Linked DNA regions of Sus scrofa. The protein of the gene in region 3 binds, or shares a complex with, the protein of the main gene of each other region. Links are inferred from orthologs where the notes say so. Each region holds a gene or a part of one and is shown on either strand. Other genes may lie near its edges. The genes, in order: CHIC2, HSPB8 and STUB1.

Region 1 (3,912 bases), on a different chromosome or scaffold from region 3:
TTTTCATGGTGCGATTAGAATCAAATCGATTTCCCTACAGCCTTCAGCATTCAGATGGCAATTTTAACAAAGCTTGGGGGCTAGACAAGGGACAAAACGACTGAACTGAATGTTAATTACACTCTGCAGCCTTATTTTCTTTTGATTTGGGGCTGACTGGCAACTAAATTAACAAAAAGTGTGACCATAACTGCTGCCCTATTTTCATTTAAAAGGAGAGCTGCCTCTAAAAGGCTATCTTTACAAAGAAACAAGTGAGGTCTGCTGATCATTGTTAACAAGGGCACTTTTTTCCCTTTAAAATTCTTGCCCAAAAAACTGTTCAAAAAAAGTAGTGTAATAAATTAGTCATTGGCGTATTATTACCCAGAGAGTTAGTTGATTTTCTGATTTTTATGACATAAGTTTGGAAAATGTAAGGCAGTAGTAGTAGTAGTTATGAATTATAATTGGCACCTCTGTGACTGTGGTATGTCTCTAGCATGTTCAGCATGCTAAAAGGTAACATGGTAACTAGATTACAGTAGATACTTTAAATATTAACACATTTTATAACACTGAGCTATTCAAAACTAGCTGATCGTAACAATTTTCACCTAGCTCATCCTTGCTTGACATGCACATTTTCATATTTGATGATTAATACTTACTTAGTTGTGCCACATTAATAGAGCTAGATGCTTTTTCCCTTTCCTTGCAAGGAAGCTGCAGCTGCAGCAAGTTGCAGTTGATTCTTGTGGCAAAACTGTCCTGTTTGCACCTGCAGCTGTGTTGGTCTCATCCTAACACCTGGCACCATGAATTATGCTCCCTTTTATTCTTCCCAAGGAAGAAGCATTTCATGCTTCATAGTATATATTGCAAAAATCATGTGATCCTAAACATAAATTTCTTAGTTGATTCCTTTAACAGTAATATTTAGTAAAGAGATTTTTCAATAAAACTCATTTTGTTTGAAAACCAACAAAAATGATTGGTTTAAATGCAGTTTTGCCTCTGCTTGAAAATAGTTACCTATGGAATAATAAACCAGCTTTTAAATTTGGTCATCATTCTTATAACGTAAAAATTAGTTTGATTCGATAGCAAATTGATTTTAAATTAACTTTCAATTATTTCCTTCTTGAATTTATTCTAAAAGCCTTTTGCATTTTGTTACCTAATGCTTAACCTTTGTTTTAAAATATATATTAAAAAATAGAAGATGTATAAGGAAATCTTATTACTATTTAAGCATTACAAAAATATTTCTGAAAGAAATTGGGATTAAATTTGTATCATATGGTGAAAATTAGCTTTTTAGACTTTGCTGGTTTTAAATCAGAGCATAGTGTGTTTGAAACAGTTAAGAAACGCAATGGCGAAAAACCAAAACCATGTCTTAATCAAAATAGTGTTCTGTTTCTGTTCAGGCAGCTATTATAGTGCTCGAATGTTGATAGTGTTTATAGACCACCCTATACTCAGTCACTGTCTTATACCTCACTCCTTTTCACACAAAAAGCAGCTGCAAAACAAAGTTTTTCTAAAACCAGTCAAGAGTAAACTTTTTCCTCATTTGTCTTCCAGACACGAAGATCGATTGAGAAGTTATTAGAATGGGAAAACAATAGGTTATACCACAAGGTGAGTACCACAGGGAGCAGCTTCGTACTGTTGGGGTCTGAATTGCACAGTATGGAAACAGATGCTTTTGTTGAACTAAAAATATGAAAGGTGGATAAATGGGTTAGTCTGTGTGCTGCAATAAAATAGAGCTCATTTTTCTTCTTTTACTCTCCTACTTGTCTAGCTGTGCTTGCACTGGAGACTGAGCAAAAGGAAATGTGAAACGAATAACATGATGGAATATGTAAGTTAAAGGGCTGTTTTGTGAGTTTCTCTATTAAATGATCATTTATTTTGCTTCTGATCTTATTCTTTCCATGATTATTAATCAGCAAAGGTGTCAGGAGCTTAATCTCCTGAGCGCAAGGATTTTCTACGGTTCACAGATGCATGGTTTCATGTGCAAGACTGATTTATAAAGTTATGAATGACTTGAAAACAAGGCTTCACTGTGTTCTGAAAAATAATAAATTAATTGCCAAGATAAAATAGCCTGAACATGTGTTGATGGAGTGTGAAATTTTAGATGCTGTATAAAGAATAACCACAACTTTGGTTACGCAGCAAGTCAGATATGGCTTTTTTATATAATGCTAATCAGGTTTCCAAGTATGGAAGAAAACCTTTCAGCCAAGCCACTGGAGCTTAAGAAACCTTTAGCCTTTATAGATTTTAACTGCCCATACCTCCGTGGCCTTTAGAGAATCTTTCAAAGTGTTATTGGAATATTATTCTGTAAAAAGTATCTTAAAAGTAAACGGGAGATGAGATGGTACTTATCCTGTGTTTATTCGTTAAGTTATCTAAATGAGCATGTATATTCAATGGATTTTAGAATGGGATTTAATTTGCTGACTACTTGATTTACTTTATTTTTCTCCTTTTGAAAAGTTCAGAATGCTATAGAAAATTGTGACTCTTTATTCTCCCTTGAGTTTGGGTGTTTCATTTTAAATATGGAAAGGTTATTATATTAAAAGAAAAAGATCTGAGGAAGAGTTAAGTACCTGGAACATCATTTCTAACAAATTTCATCTATTCTTTGAAACAATATAGCCATCATAAGTAGTATATATGTATGTGTATATATAAAAGATTGATTAAAAGAGTGCTTAAATAGTTGGAAATTATCATACAATCATTTTTCTCTGTAGCATTTTCTCTTTCATTATCACACAGTAAAATCCCATTTCTAGCCTTGAACATAAAAGATGTCTTAAAGATGTGTCTTTTTTTTTTTTTATAGAATAGCTCTATTCAGTGAACCAAGTAATGAAGATTTTATCATTATTACATCAAACATGTTAATTTATGATGATAAAAAGGCACTTGATACCTCTTTATATAATAAAAGCACATTCACATAACTTATTTTGAGATAGACCTCTGGAAATGCTGGATTTGAATTTTCATCATAGATGATGAGAAAGATTATGTATTTTGTGAGGAGGGATGGATATCTAAGAGATTTAAAGGCTTTTGTGAAAAAATACTGACTATAAACCCAAACACTAAGCTCAAAATTGAGGCTTTTGTTTATTTACTTATTTTTTATTTACTTATTTTGCACATTTCTAAATTTACTTTGAAAAGGAGAACAACTTATTCCCAATTTCTAGATAGAACTGGAAGAATGTCATTCATTTATAAAATATGCTCATTATATTCATGTTTATTTTTTATTATTTGTTATTCATTTACATAATTTACTTCCAAAACATTCTGAACTATGTGCTCTGTGTATAAAATAGTTTCCTTTAATTTATCATAAATTTTTAGATAAACACTTTTCCTAGGGCCATTATATTTTTCACATCATCATAGAAGATATCCAGAAGAGTAGCTTTAAAACATTTGCTTTAAAAATGTATTTTTTCTAAATTTTCACAGAGTGTATATATATGTGTGTGTGTGTGTGTGTGTGTGTGTGTGAGAGAGAGTTGAATGAAGGGAAAACATAATTTTTAAAGCTTCCAAAAATAATTCTGAAAACTTAAGATAGTAAATGATCTATCAGATATATATATATATATTTGACCTAAACTTTTCTTTAACTTAGAGAAATTTCCTTTGTTAAAGGGAAATAATTTTCCTCTATTATATTTGAAATATTGGAGTCAATCTAAGAACGTGCAAATTTGTTACTAACTTTATTTTTATATGTGGCTTCTAAAGAGAAAAGTTTGTAGGATACACTCTTTAAAAACTAGTAATGATTCGAATATAATCAAAGATAGCTTTTATTATTCATTATATAGTATACACTATAAAATATAATTTAATCAAATTTTAGAGCTGCAATGA
Region 2 (4,530 bases), on a different chromosome or scaffold from region 3:
TTGTCTGTCTGTCTGTCTGTCTTATTTTAGCCTCCAATGACCCCGTTTTACAGATGTGGAAACGGAGGCTCTGTGACTGACTCAAAGCCTCTGGATTAGTAAGGTACTCAGCTGGGATCTCAGCCTGGAGCTGCCAGACCACACCCGTTAAGAAGCACTTAGAAAGGAGGATAGATGAAAAAGCCCTCCAGGCCGCACAGAGGTCTCCTGGGCCAAAGGGCATGGGAGACCCTTCACCCTGGGGTGGAACCCTGATTAAAACAAAGACAAGAAGAGTGGTGATAATAATCACCTTGTTTGCAGAGTGCCAGGCAGACACTATTATTAGCTCCCTTTTACAGACACTCTGCATTTATTATCATAGGGTGTCTGTGCATATTTAATCTTCTCTACAGCTCTGCAGGATGGATATTATTATGACCGCCTTTCTTCAGATGCGGAAACTGAGGCTCAGAATGGTGAAAAGACTTTCTTGTCCATATCCAACCAGAGAGTGAACAGCGGTGGTGGGATTTGAACCCAGGTCTCGAAGAGCATCTAGCATATACAAATGTGGATATATGTATTTGTGTGCCTAGCATTGTAATGACAACATCAACAACAATAACAATACTGATCCTTTGTGTTCTAGGCACTCTGGGCACACTTCACGTGCATTATCTCCTTGAAGACAACAATCCTTAGGCAGTGTAGCCATGTCTGAACCCCAATTTCCAGATAAGGAAACAGCACAGAGAAGTGGTTTCAGATGCCTGGCTCCCCAGCCAACTCACAAAGCCCTGACTGCCCCCTCCATCCATACAAGGACCCACCACACCTTCCGGAGCCACTGATATTTATAATTTTGCCCTGGGAGGTTTTGAAAGCATTATCCCCCCCCTACCCCCACACCCCCCCCCCAACCTCCCGCCCCAGGCTTGTTCCTGCCCAACCTGTCTGCAATGGCTTTTATTGATTTTCTGGCTGGTGGAGCCTGCCAGGAACAAGCTCTTTTTAATGGAGCGTTAATTGGGAGGGAAGGGACTGAAAGCCTTTTCCCTGCCACCCTGCTTAACAGGGACTGAACCTCCGACTCCTCTTTCCTGTTCTGCAAAACATCCTGTCTCCCAGGCTGGGATGTGGCGTGGGCAGCCCCAGACTCATCCGACTGCTGACTCACGGCGTGACCTTGGAGGAGTCCCTGCCTAGGCCTCAAACTCCTCAGCTGCAAAATGGGACCTGACACCCATGCAGCATCTCAGGGCTAGAGTGAGGATGATTTGTGAGCAGGAATATACAGGTTGTCGCCCTGGGCACCTGCTGGGTGCTCAGCAAACCATCGATTTGCTTCTGGTCTCCTCACCCTGGGCATGATTCCTGGTCGGCCTTGAGCAGGTTTTGGGCCTCTATTTCCTCATTTGTGAGGAGATAGGCAGGACTCACCTCCTCTGGTTATGTTCAGAGATGCCACAGGCAAAGTGCTGAGCACAGTTCCTGGCAGAGAGTGAGGGTCTATCAGGGTTACCAAGTTGCCTCCCTATACTGACGACTCTGCCTCAGTTTCCTTCCTGGGGACCAGAGAAGGTGTTTCTCTTGAATCCTGTGCTAGGTACTATCATGACACAGCAACAGGCACCCCCCTCCCGGACAGTGTCTTGATGCTGGGGTGCAGGAACCCCACTTTCTTTCCGGCTTTTTCCACCTTTTATATCTGCAAAGCTTTTTCTTTATATTAAATTCTATCAAAACTCTCCATGTGGCTTTTTCCCTCTTGTTCGCTGGTTGATGCAGTGCCCAAAGGACCCAGCAGCTGAGCCAGGTTAAAATTTCTCCTGGAAGCCAGGAGAGGAGTGCTTTTCGGTAAAGATAGCTTGTATGGGCTGCATTCCTGGGCCCTGAAGTCACCTGTGTCCTGCTGTCACAGCTTCCCTTCTTAGGGAACGGTCCCTTGGCTATTCCAGGTTGAAGCCCACACTGCCCCCCCACCCCAAGTCTCTCTCCCCCCACTGCTCCCCACTCACCAGACACCTCCACGTAGCCATCCTTGGTCTTTACCATCAGCTCCTCCGGCTTAAAGCTGTGCACGTTGACACACACTTTCCAGGGCTCCCCAGGGAAGGGTGGGGGGCTCCTGCCCTCGGCAGGGACCCCAAATCTGGCCATCGACGTTGGCCCCCGGGGCACCATGCCCGACCTCAAGGTCCCTGGCCAGGCAGAGGAGAGACGAGGCAGGGCCCAGTCGGGCCAAGAGGCAGTCAGGTCGTCTGGGAAGGGGTCCATGCCAAAGCCATCGTCCAACAGGCGGGAGGACAGAGGGGAGTCTCGGAAGGGGTCCCGGCGCCGGCGGCTGGCGTAGTGGCAGGGGAAGGGCATCTGACCGTCAGCCATGGTGGCCGCTGAGCTAGAGGGGAAACGGAGGCTCAGAGAGAGGGAGCCACCTGCTCAAGGTCTCACACAGCAAGGTGGTGTGGGTATGCGGGTCTTCCAAGCTTATTCTTCAGCTTCGGAATAATGCTGAACCATCCACTGCCAGGGACGGAGGCTGTCACACCAGGCCGGGGTCCCAGCCTCCAAAGACGCTCCAGCCACCAAAGCCGACCCCTAGCTGGTCCAGCAGAATTCTCCAGGCCCCCTTCTCCACACCAGCCTCCCCGGAGAACAGCCAGCCACCCTCCGCCCAGGCGGTCCAGGCTCTCAGCCAGAGCCGCTGGTGGAGCCGGGAGCTTAATAAACACCGAGGACGCAGGCCTAGAAACTTCTCCTTGCTTCTGGGCTGGGAGCCTTCTATTTATTGCTGCTGGGGGCTGGAGGCGGGTTTTGCAAGTGCCTCCTGTCACAGGAGTATTCGGAGGTGATGAACCAGCCCCCCGAGAATCCCGCGGAGGGAACAGCTGGGCTCCCAGGGGGCTGGGAGGGGCCTTCTCTGCCAAGTTCTGCCAGCCTCTCCGGACACTCCTCCCCCAGCTGCGCTCCGCTCCGCCCCCCTCCCGCTCCCGCTCCCGCTCCCTCTCTCTCCCTCCTCGGGAGCCCGCCCCCAGCAGGGCACTAAGGCCTGGCTATTAATAACCCTCGCCTGGCTGAGGGCTCAGGTCACCCTCTGGAAATACCTTCCCCAGAGCCTGCTGCATCCTGCCTACCCCCTGGGGACCTGGAGAAGGGGAGGAGAGAGACAGGAGCCTAGCGGTTTTGCAGGAAGATGGCCCAGGGTTGCAATCCCTCCCCACTTCTTCTTTTTTTTTTTTTTTTCTTTTTTTTGCTGTGCCCCCAGGGCAATCGAAAGTTCCCTGGGCCAGGGATCGAACCTGCACCACAGCGGCAACCCAAACCGCTGCAATGACAGCGCCAGCTCCTTAACCCACTAGACCACCAGGGAACTCCTGCCATCCCCACCTTCTAACCCTCCAGCATCTTCAAGCTCTTGGAGCTCACCTTTTGCACCCTCTGAGCGGAGTCACCATTCTTCCCCAGGTGGCTGTGAGCTGTCAGTTTTCCCTCCTGTAAAATGGAGAGTAATAATAGCCTCCTCACCATGAGGTCATCCTCCTTAAGCATTCGGCAGACTGACATTTTATATTTTCAATGTTGCTTCTCAATGACATAAAACTTGCTAGATGCCAGGCCCTGATCTAAAAATGCTTTACAAACATTCACTGGCTTCATCCTCACCAACAGTCCTGTGAGGCAAGGGTACTGCCTTATCCCCAGCTTACAGAAGGGGAAACCACCATAGGGAGTGTTAGCCAGTGGTAGCTTCTATTACTACGATGACAGTTAATAATGATAATTACCCAAAGATGCTGAATTCAAGGAGGGTGTCCGGTCTGAAACTCCAAGCCCAGAGAAGACCTCTTTTCTGGGTTTCCCTGCCCCTCCGTGCCCTTGAATTTACACCTTGTCCTTTGATCTCAAGGCCCCTTGAGCTCCCATTCCAGTTTTTGATCTGTCCCCAGCAGGTGTGCTGTCTGGGGGCGTGCCATCCTCTCTCTCAGGGCTTAGGGTCTGGGCCCCGCCTTCCTTGTGGGGTGGGGTGGGCTGGGCTGGGGGTGTTAAGGAATTCAGTGAGTCATGGGTTGAGAAATCCTTTTGGTATTAAGCTGGGCCCACGTGAGGCAGTTTGCTAAAAATAATAGTATGGAAAACAACAACAGTCCCCATCATTCCTGCCTGCTCTGTACCTGCCACGCAGTGAGCAGCTGCCCTGAACCCTCACCACTGCCACGCGGGCGCCGTCACCACGCCCATTTCGCAGATGAGGAAACTGCGGCGAGCGTGGTCCTCGCACACCGCTGGGGGGCGGCACGACCTCGGTGGGGACCCGAAAGTCTGTGCGGAGCTGAAGGATCCAGACCCCGCCGCTACTGCCACTGCACCCCCCCCCCCCCCCGCCGCCCAGTCTCTGGGCCCAGGAAAGGAGATTGGGGCGCCCTCGTCCCCAGTGACTAGGGTGAGGTCACCGGCTCGAGCTTCAGGCTGACGTCAGGGCCGGGCACAGGGCCTCAGCTCTCTCTGTAATTACAGCTGGGTGGGGCGAGGCTGGCTGGGTGTGGAGCC
Region 3 (4,675 bases):
TGGAGTGCCCTTCCACTGGCATGGGCCCGGGTTCTCGGAGGTGATCTACGGCCGCAAGGTCAGCACAGTGTGAGGGCTGAACCTTGAGGTTCACTGACCACAACACAGCATGACCTTGTTGCTCCTTCCACCCTCAGCGCTGGTTCCTGTATCCCCCTGAGAAGACACCCGAGTTCCATCCCAACAAGACCACACTGGCTTGGCTCCGGGACACATACCCAGCCCTGGCACCATCTGCACGGCCCCTGGAATGCACCATCCAGGCCGGTGAGGTCAGTGGTTGGCAGGCAGGGGCTGGGCCGGGCCAAGGGCCTGCAACCAATCCCTGTGCCTTTCTCACCCCATCCACTAGGTGCTGTATTTCCCTGACCGATGGTGGCACGCCACACTCAACCTTGACATCAGCGTCTTCATCTCTACGTTCCTCAGCTAACCCAGGGGGTGGCTGGTAAGCCGTTGCACACCAGCACACGCCCCCATAGTGCTCACAGATTTTATTACAGGGACAGTGGTGGCAGCAGCAACCTCGGCCTGGCCCACCCTCACCTGCCGCTTCTGGCACAGGAGGATGGGGGAGCCTCATGGCCCAGCAGAACTGGTGGGGCTGGGGCTGGGGATACCAGGGTGGGGATCCAGGGACACGAACTATGTACAGAGGCTAGGGGCTGCTGCCCCAAGGCCCTCCCAAGAAGCCAGGATACTGGGCAGGGTGGGTGAGGGGCCCACCCACTTGCCCTGCCTCAGTAGTCCTCCACCCAGCCATTCTCCGAGATGAACGCATCAATGACCTCCTTCATGGCCAGGTTGGGGATGAGCTGTTCCTGGGTCAGGGGGCTCCGAGTCACAGGGTCAAAGTGGCCCACGCGCTGCAGTGGCAACAGGATCAGAATGAGAAGATGCCCAGTGGGTGTGGGCCCTGCCCCCAGCGGCTACGGACCCTTACCTGCAGGTGCTCCTCAATGTCCTTGCGGTCATAGGTGATGCCACTGGGCGTGATGCACGGCTCCCGCATCAGCTCGAAGCTGATCTTGCCACACAGGTAGTCAGGGATGTCTCGCTTCTGCAGCACCCAAGCTCAGGTCAGGAGCGGGAAGGGGCACTGCCCTGGCTCCTGCTACCCACAGGGCCCAGGGAACAGGCAGCTTACCTTTCTCTTCTCATCCACCTGGGAGAAGAGCTCATCCATGTCTGCCAAGTACTTATCCTACAAAAAACCAGGCAGCTCCAGAGAAGCTTGAGCCCCTGTCGCCTTTCCCCAGGCACCCCGCCCACAAAGACCCAACAGGAGCCAGGGTCACCTCACATCACACACGTGCAAATACACACAGGACCCACACGTGGGCAGGGCACCCTCACATGCTTGGCCTCGATGCAGGCCTGCTGGGCCCGGATGTGGCCGTCATCCTCTTCACCCTCGTGGTTCCGCTGACACTCTTCCAGCTCCCTGGGGTGGACCACACAGCTGATCAGAGATGGGTCTGGCCAGAGGAGATCAGACTCCACCTTGGGCCGATTCAGGCCCTGTTCCCTCATCTCCTGCTTTCCCAGGCTGGTCCTCAATAAACGCTTATGTTCACGACTCAGAATGGTGACTTTTGCGAGTTCCCGTCATGGCTCAGTGGTTAATGAATCCGACTAGGAACCATGAGATTGCAGGTTTGAACCTCGGCCTTGCTCAGTGGGTTAACGATCCGACGTTGTCAAGAACTGGTGTAGGTCGCAGACAACGGCTCGGATCCCGCATTGCTGTGGCTCTGGCGTAGGCCGGCGGCTAGAGCTCCGATTGGACCCCTAGCCTGGGAACCTTCACATGATACAGGAGGGGCCCTAGAAATGGCGAAAAGACACGAAAACAAAAAAACAAGGAAAAAAAGAATGGTGACTTTGGGAGGTGGGGTGGAGCCCATGAACACCACAGCCCACCTCTCACGCTCAGCCACAATGAGTCGAGTGAGGTAAGAGTGCAGCTCGTTCTCCTGGTGGATGCGCCGCTCCTCGATGCTGTTCCAGCGTTTCTTCTTGGCAATGCGCAAAGCACTGGGGATGTCATCCCCAAAATTGAGCCGCTGCTCCTTGGCCAGGTTGTAGGCTGGGGGAACAAAGGATCCGGGTAACCCTCGAGCCAGTCCCCCCGCCTGGTCCCAGGCACCCTGGAACAGGCCAGCCAGCAAGCCCACCTCGCTGCAGGTTGGCAATAGCCTCATCATAGCTCTCCATCTCCAACTGGCACTGCCCCAGGAAGAAGTGTGCTTTCACAGACTGGCTGTCCAGTTCCAGGGCGCGCCGGCAGTCAGCCAGGGCTTGCTCGTGCTGCTGCATCTTCAGGTAGCACAGTGCCCGGTTGGTGTAATACACTGCCACCAAGGGATTCCGGGTCTGGGGACCAAGGCCGGACCAGCCAACATGAGGGAGTGAGTTCAGCCTGCCCTTTCTGTCCTAGCTTGAGACCCACGGCTGGAATCAAGACACTAGAGGTTTCTCAGCACCCAGGTCTCTGGGCGCGGAGGAAGGGTGGAGCCTACCTGAGCCCGCCCCCTCGACTCCAACGAGTCTTGCGAAGACAGGTTTCCCAGACTCCTGAAAATCCCCAGCTTTGGGCTTGGACCCCCAGCCCAGTGGGCTGCAAGCACCCTGAAGCTCCCACCCGCCACAGTTCTCTGACCACCAACCCTGGCTCGGGAGCCGTAGCCTTGGCCTCTCTGAGAGAAGATCACTCAGTCCTCAGAGCCGAAGTGCATCCCCTCCGAAAGTCCGGTAGGGGCGGCCAGACAGGGGCTCCGGGGAGGACGCGGGGCCGAAGCCGCGGCCCGGCCCGGCCCCTCCTCCGGCCCCGACGCCTGCCCCCTCCCGCGGCCCGGGCGCACTCACGATGGCGCGGCCGTAGCAGGCCGCCGCCTCCGGGTACTTGCGGCCCACGAAGAGCCGGTTGCCCTGCTCCTTTAGCTCCTGCGCGCTCGGGCTCTTCTCCGGGCTGCCGCCGCCGGCGCCCAGCCGCGCGCCGCTCTCCTTCTCCTCCTTGCCCTTCATGGCGCCGCGCGGCACGGCCTGGGCTCCGCTCCCAGGCTCCGCGCCCGGCCCGCCCAGCGCCCGCACCCCGAGCCCGCGATCCGCTCGGGCCCAGTCCTGCGCTCTGCCACCGGAACTTCCGGCCGTGCGGTTGGGCGGGGCCTCGCGTGCCCCCAACGCGCCGCGGGGGCGGGGTTGGCAGGGAGCGTGCGCTCGCGGCGACTCGACGCGCGGCGTCGGCAACCTGAGGAGAGCCGAGGTCGTCGGGGCGGAAGCCCACCCCGGCGCCCCGGCGCCCCGCCCCCGAAGCCCTGCCCCGGCGCGTGGACATGGCGGCGGCCCGCGGCCTTTGGGGCTGTGAGGACCCGAGCCTCTGGGCCGCCGTCCTGGGCCGCCACGGGGAAGTGCTCCGAGCGCGCGCGGGCCCCCAGGGGCGGCTGGAAGCCCTGGACCGATGGTAGGGTGATAGGGGCATCGGGTGGGCGGGGGACCCCCGTGGCCCGGAGTCGCCGTCACAGCTCTTCTCCAGGTATCGAGAGGCGTTGCCCGCAGCCATCGAGGGCCGGGAGGAGAAGCACGTGACTCGAGAAGAGCTGGGGCAGCTGCTGGCTTGGAAGCTGGCTGTGAGGAACTTCCCACTTGGGGGGCGGGGCCTCCTTCCGGGGCGGGGCGTAGCGGTGTGGGCGTGGGCGTGGCTCGCCCGGGGGCGGGCCCTCGCGCTGTGGGGCGGGGCCCCTAGCGAGGTCCAGCACCCGTGACCCCCACCCCGACTTGACCAGCGGGGCCGCTTCAGGCCGCGCCTGCATCAGCTCGTCAGCGCCAACGCCCCGGAGTTGGTGGTGCAGCACTCGGCTGCCGCCTTCCCCCTCCTGCCAGACATGCACGCCGCGGTCACGGAATTACGCGCCCTGCGGGGCGTGGGCCCGGCCACGGCCTCGGGTTAGTCGGGAGAGCCTGGCGCCCTGGCAGGGTCGCGGGCGGAACCTGGTCTGTTAGTACATTTGCCTGGGACATCGCCTGATGGCCACGTTCATGACACCAAGAGCTGTTGCGAATGGCAGCCCCGAAGGTGTCTTGAGGCTGGTGGGGCCTGAGTGTTGGCTGTTTGCTGCCCATAGCGGTCTTGGCTGCCGGAGCTCCCGAGGTGGCAGCTTTCATGTCTGAGGAGGCAGTGGCCGCGGTGCCCGGTCTGCCAGCCCTGCAGTACACCCTCAAGCACTACCTGCTGTACCTGAGCCGGGTGCAGGAGCGAGCCACAGCTCTGAGCCATGGTGAGGAGACTGCTGGCAGCGAGGGAGGGCATTCAGGACTCTGGTCAGGGTGGAGGGTGCAGAGCTTCCCAGCAGAGCAGGGTGACCTGGGCCCCAGACTCCCTGTTGCCCCTCCTTAGGCAGTGCCTCAGGGCTGTGGACCCCGCATCGTGTGGAGACAGCCCTGTGGACCTGGGCTATAGGGCAGAAGCTGTGCCCTGACCTGCTGCCCGACCTCGGTCCCAGCCCAGCCGCCCCCGAGGACTCCAGGCCAGCCAAGAAGCGCCGGACCCAGACCGACTGATTTGGCTGTGGCCCAGATCCTGCTCACCTGCTCTGTGACCTCAGGGCACAAGTCTCTGGGCCAGAGGCTGGCTGCTGTAGGAGCCCAATAAATGCTTGCTGAACTCACACCTGCC

The links.
Region 1: the proteins of STUB1 (region 3) and CHIC2 are in contact, whole or in part, in a crystal structure (PDB 8SUV), measured with the Homo sapiens proteins. The link is inferred for Sus scrofa from reciprocal best matches to the Homo sapiens genes STUB1 and CHIC2. Residues at the interface, in NP_005852.2 of Homo sapiens: Lys30, Asn34, Phe37, Tyr49, Val61, Asn65, Leu68, Leu71, Val94, Lys95, Phe98, Phe99, Gln102, Arg128, Asn130, Phe131, Gly132, Asp134, Ile135; in NP_036242.1 of Homo sapiens: Leu156, Pro157, Lys158, Thr159, Pro160, Ile161, Phe162, Arg163, Pro164, Asp165.
Region 2: STUB1 (region 3) and HSPB8 share a complex: the UniProt entries of both Homo sapiens proteins name them as parts of the chaperone-assisted selective autophagy (CASA) complex. The link is inferred for Sus scrofa from reciprocal best matches to the Homo sapiens genes STUB1 and HSPB8.

The regions. Positions count from the first base shown.
Region 1 is NC_010450.4:40,794,534-40,798,445, reverse strand, and holds part of CHIC2 (cysteine-rich hydrophobic domain-containing protein 2), read left to right. Parts: intron 1-1,569; coding exon 1,570-1,626; intron 1,627-1,792; coding exon 1,793-1,852; intron 1,853-3,912.
Region 2 is NC_010456.5:33,636,850-33,641,379, forward strand, and holds the start of HSPB8 (heat shock protein beta-8), read right to left. Parts: upstream 2,976-4,530; 5' UTR 2,368-2,975; coding exon 2,001-2,367; intron 1-2,000. UniProt on the Homo sapiens protein: Involved in the chaperone-assisted selective autophagy (CASA), a crucial process for protein quality control, particularly in mechanical strained cells and tissues such as muscle. Displays temperature-dependent chaperone activity.
Region 3 is NC_010445.4:41,092,035-41,096,709, forward strand, and holds STUB1 (E3 ubiquitin-protein ligase CHIP), read right to left. Parts: upstream 3,148-4,675; 5' UTR 3,028-3,147; coding exon 2,869-3,027; intron 2,377-2,868; coding exon 2,178-2,376; intron 2,090-2,177; coding exon 1,924-2,089; intron 1,587-1,923; exon of another isoform or gene 1,445-1,586; coding exon 1,357-1,444; intron 1,205-1,356; coding exon 1,148-1,204; intron 1,061-1,147; coding exon 944-1,060; intron 867-943; coding exon 741-866; 3' UTR 480-740; downstream 1-479. Other genes in the region: JMJD8 (jmjC domain-containing protein 8), read left to right, coding at 1-58, 138-272, 353-433; uncharacterized protein LOC100524737, read left to right, coding at 3,336-3,463, 3,536-3,629, 3,786-3,945, 4,125-4,277, 4,397-4,560. UniProt on the Homo sapiens protein: E3 ubiquitin-protein ligase which targets misfolded chaperone substrates towards proteasomal degradation.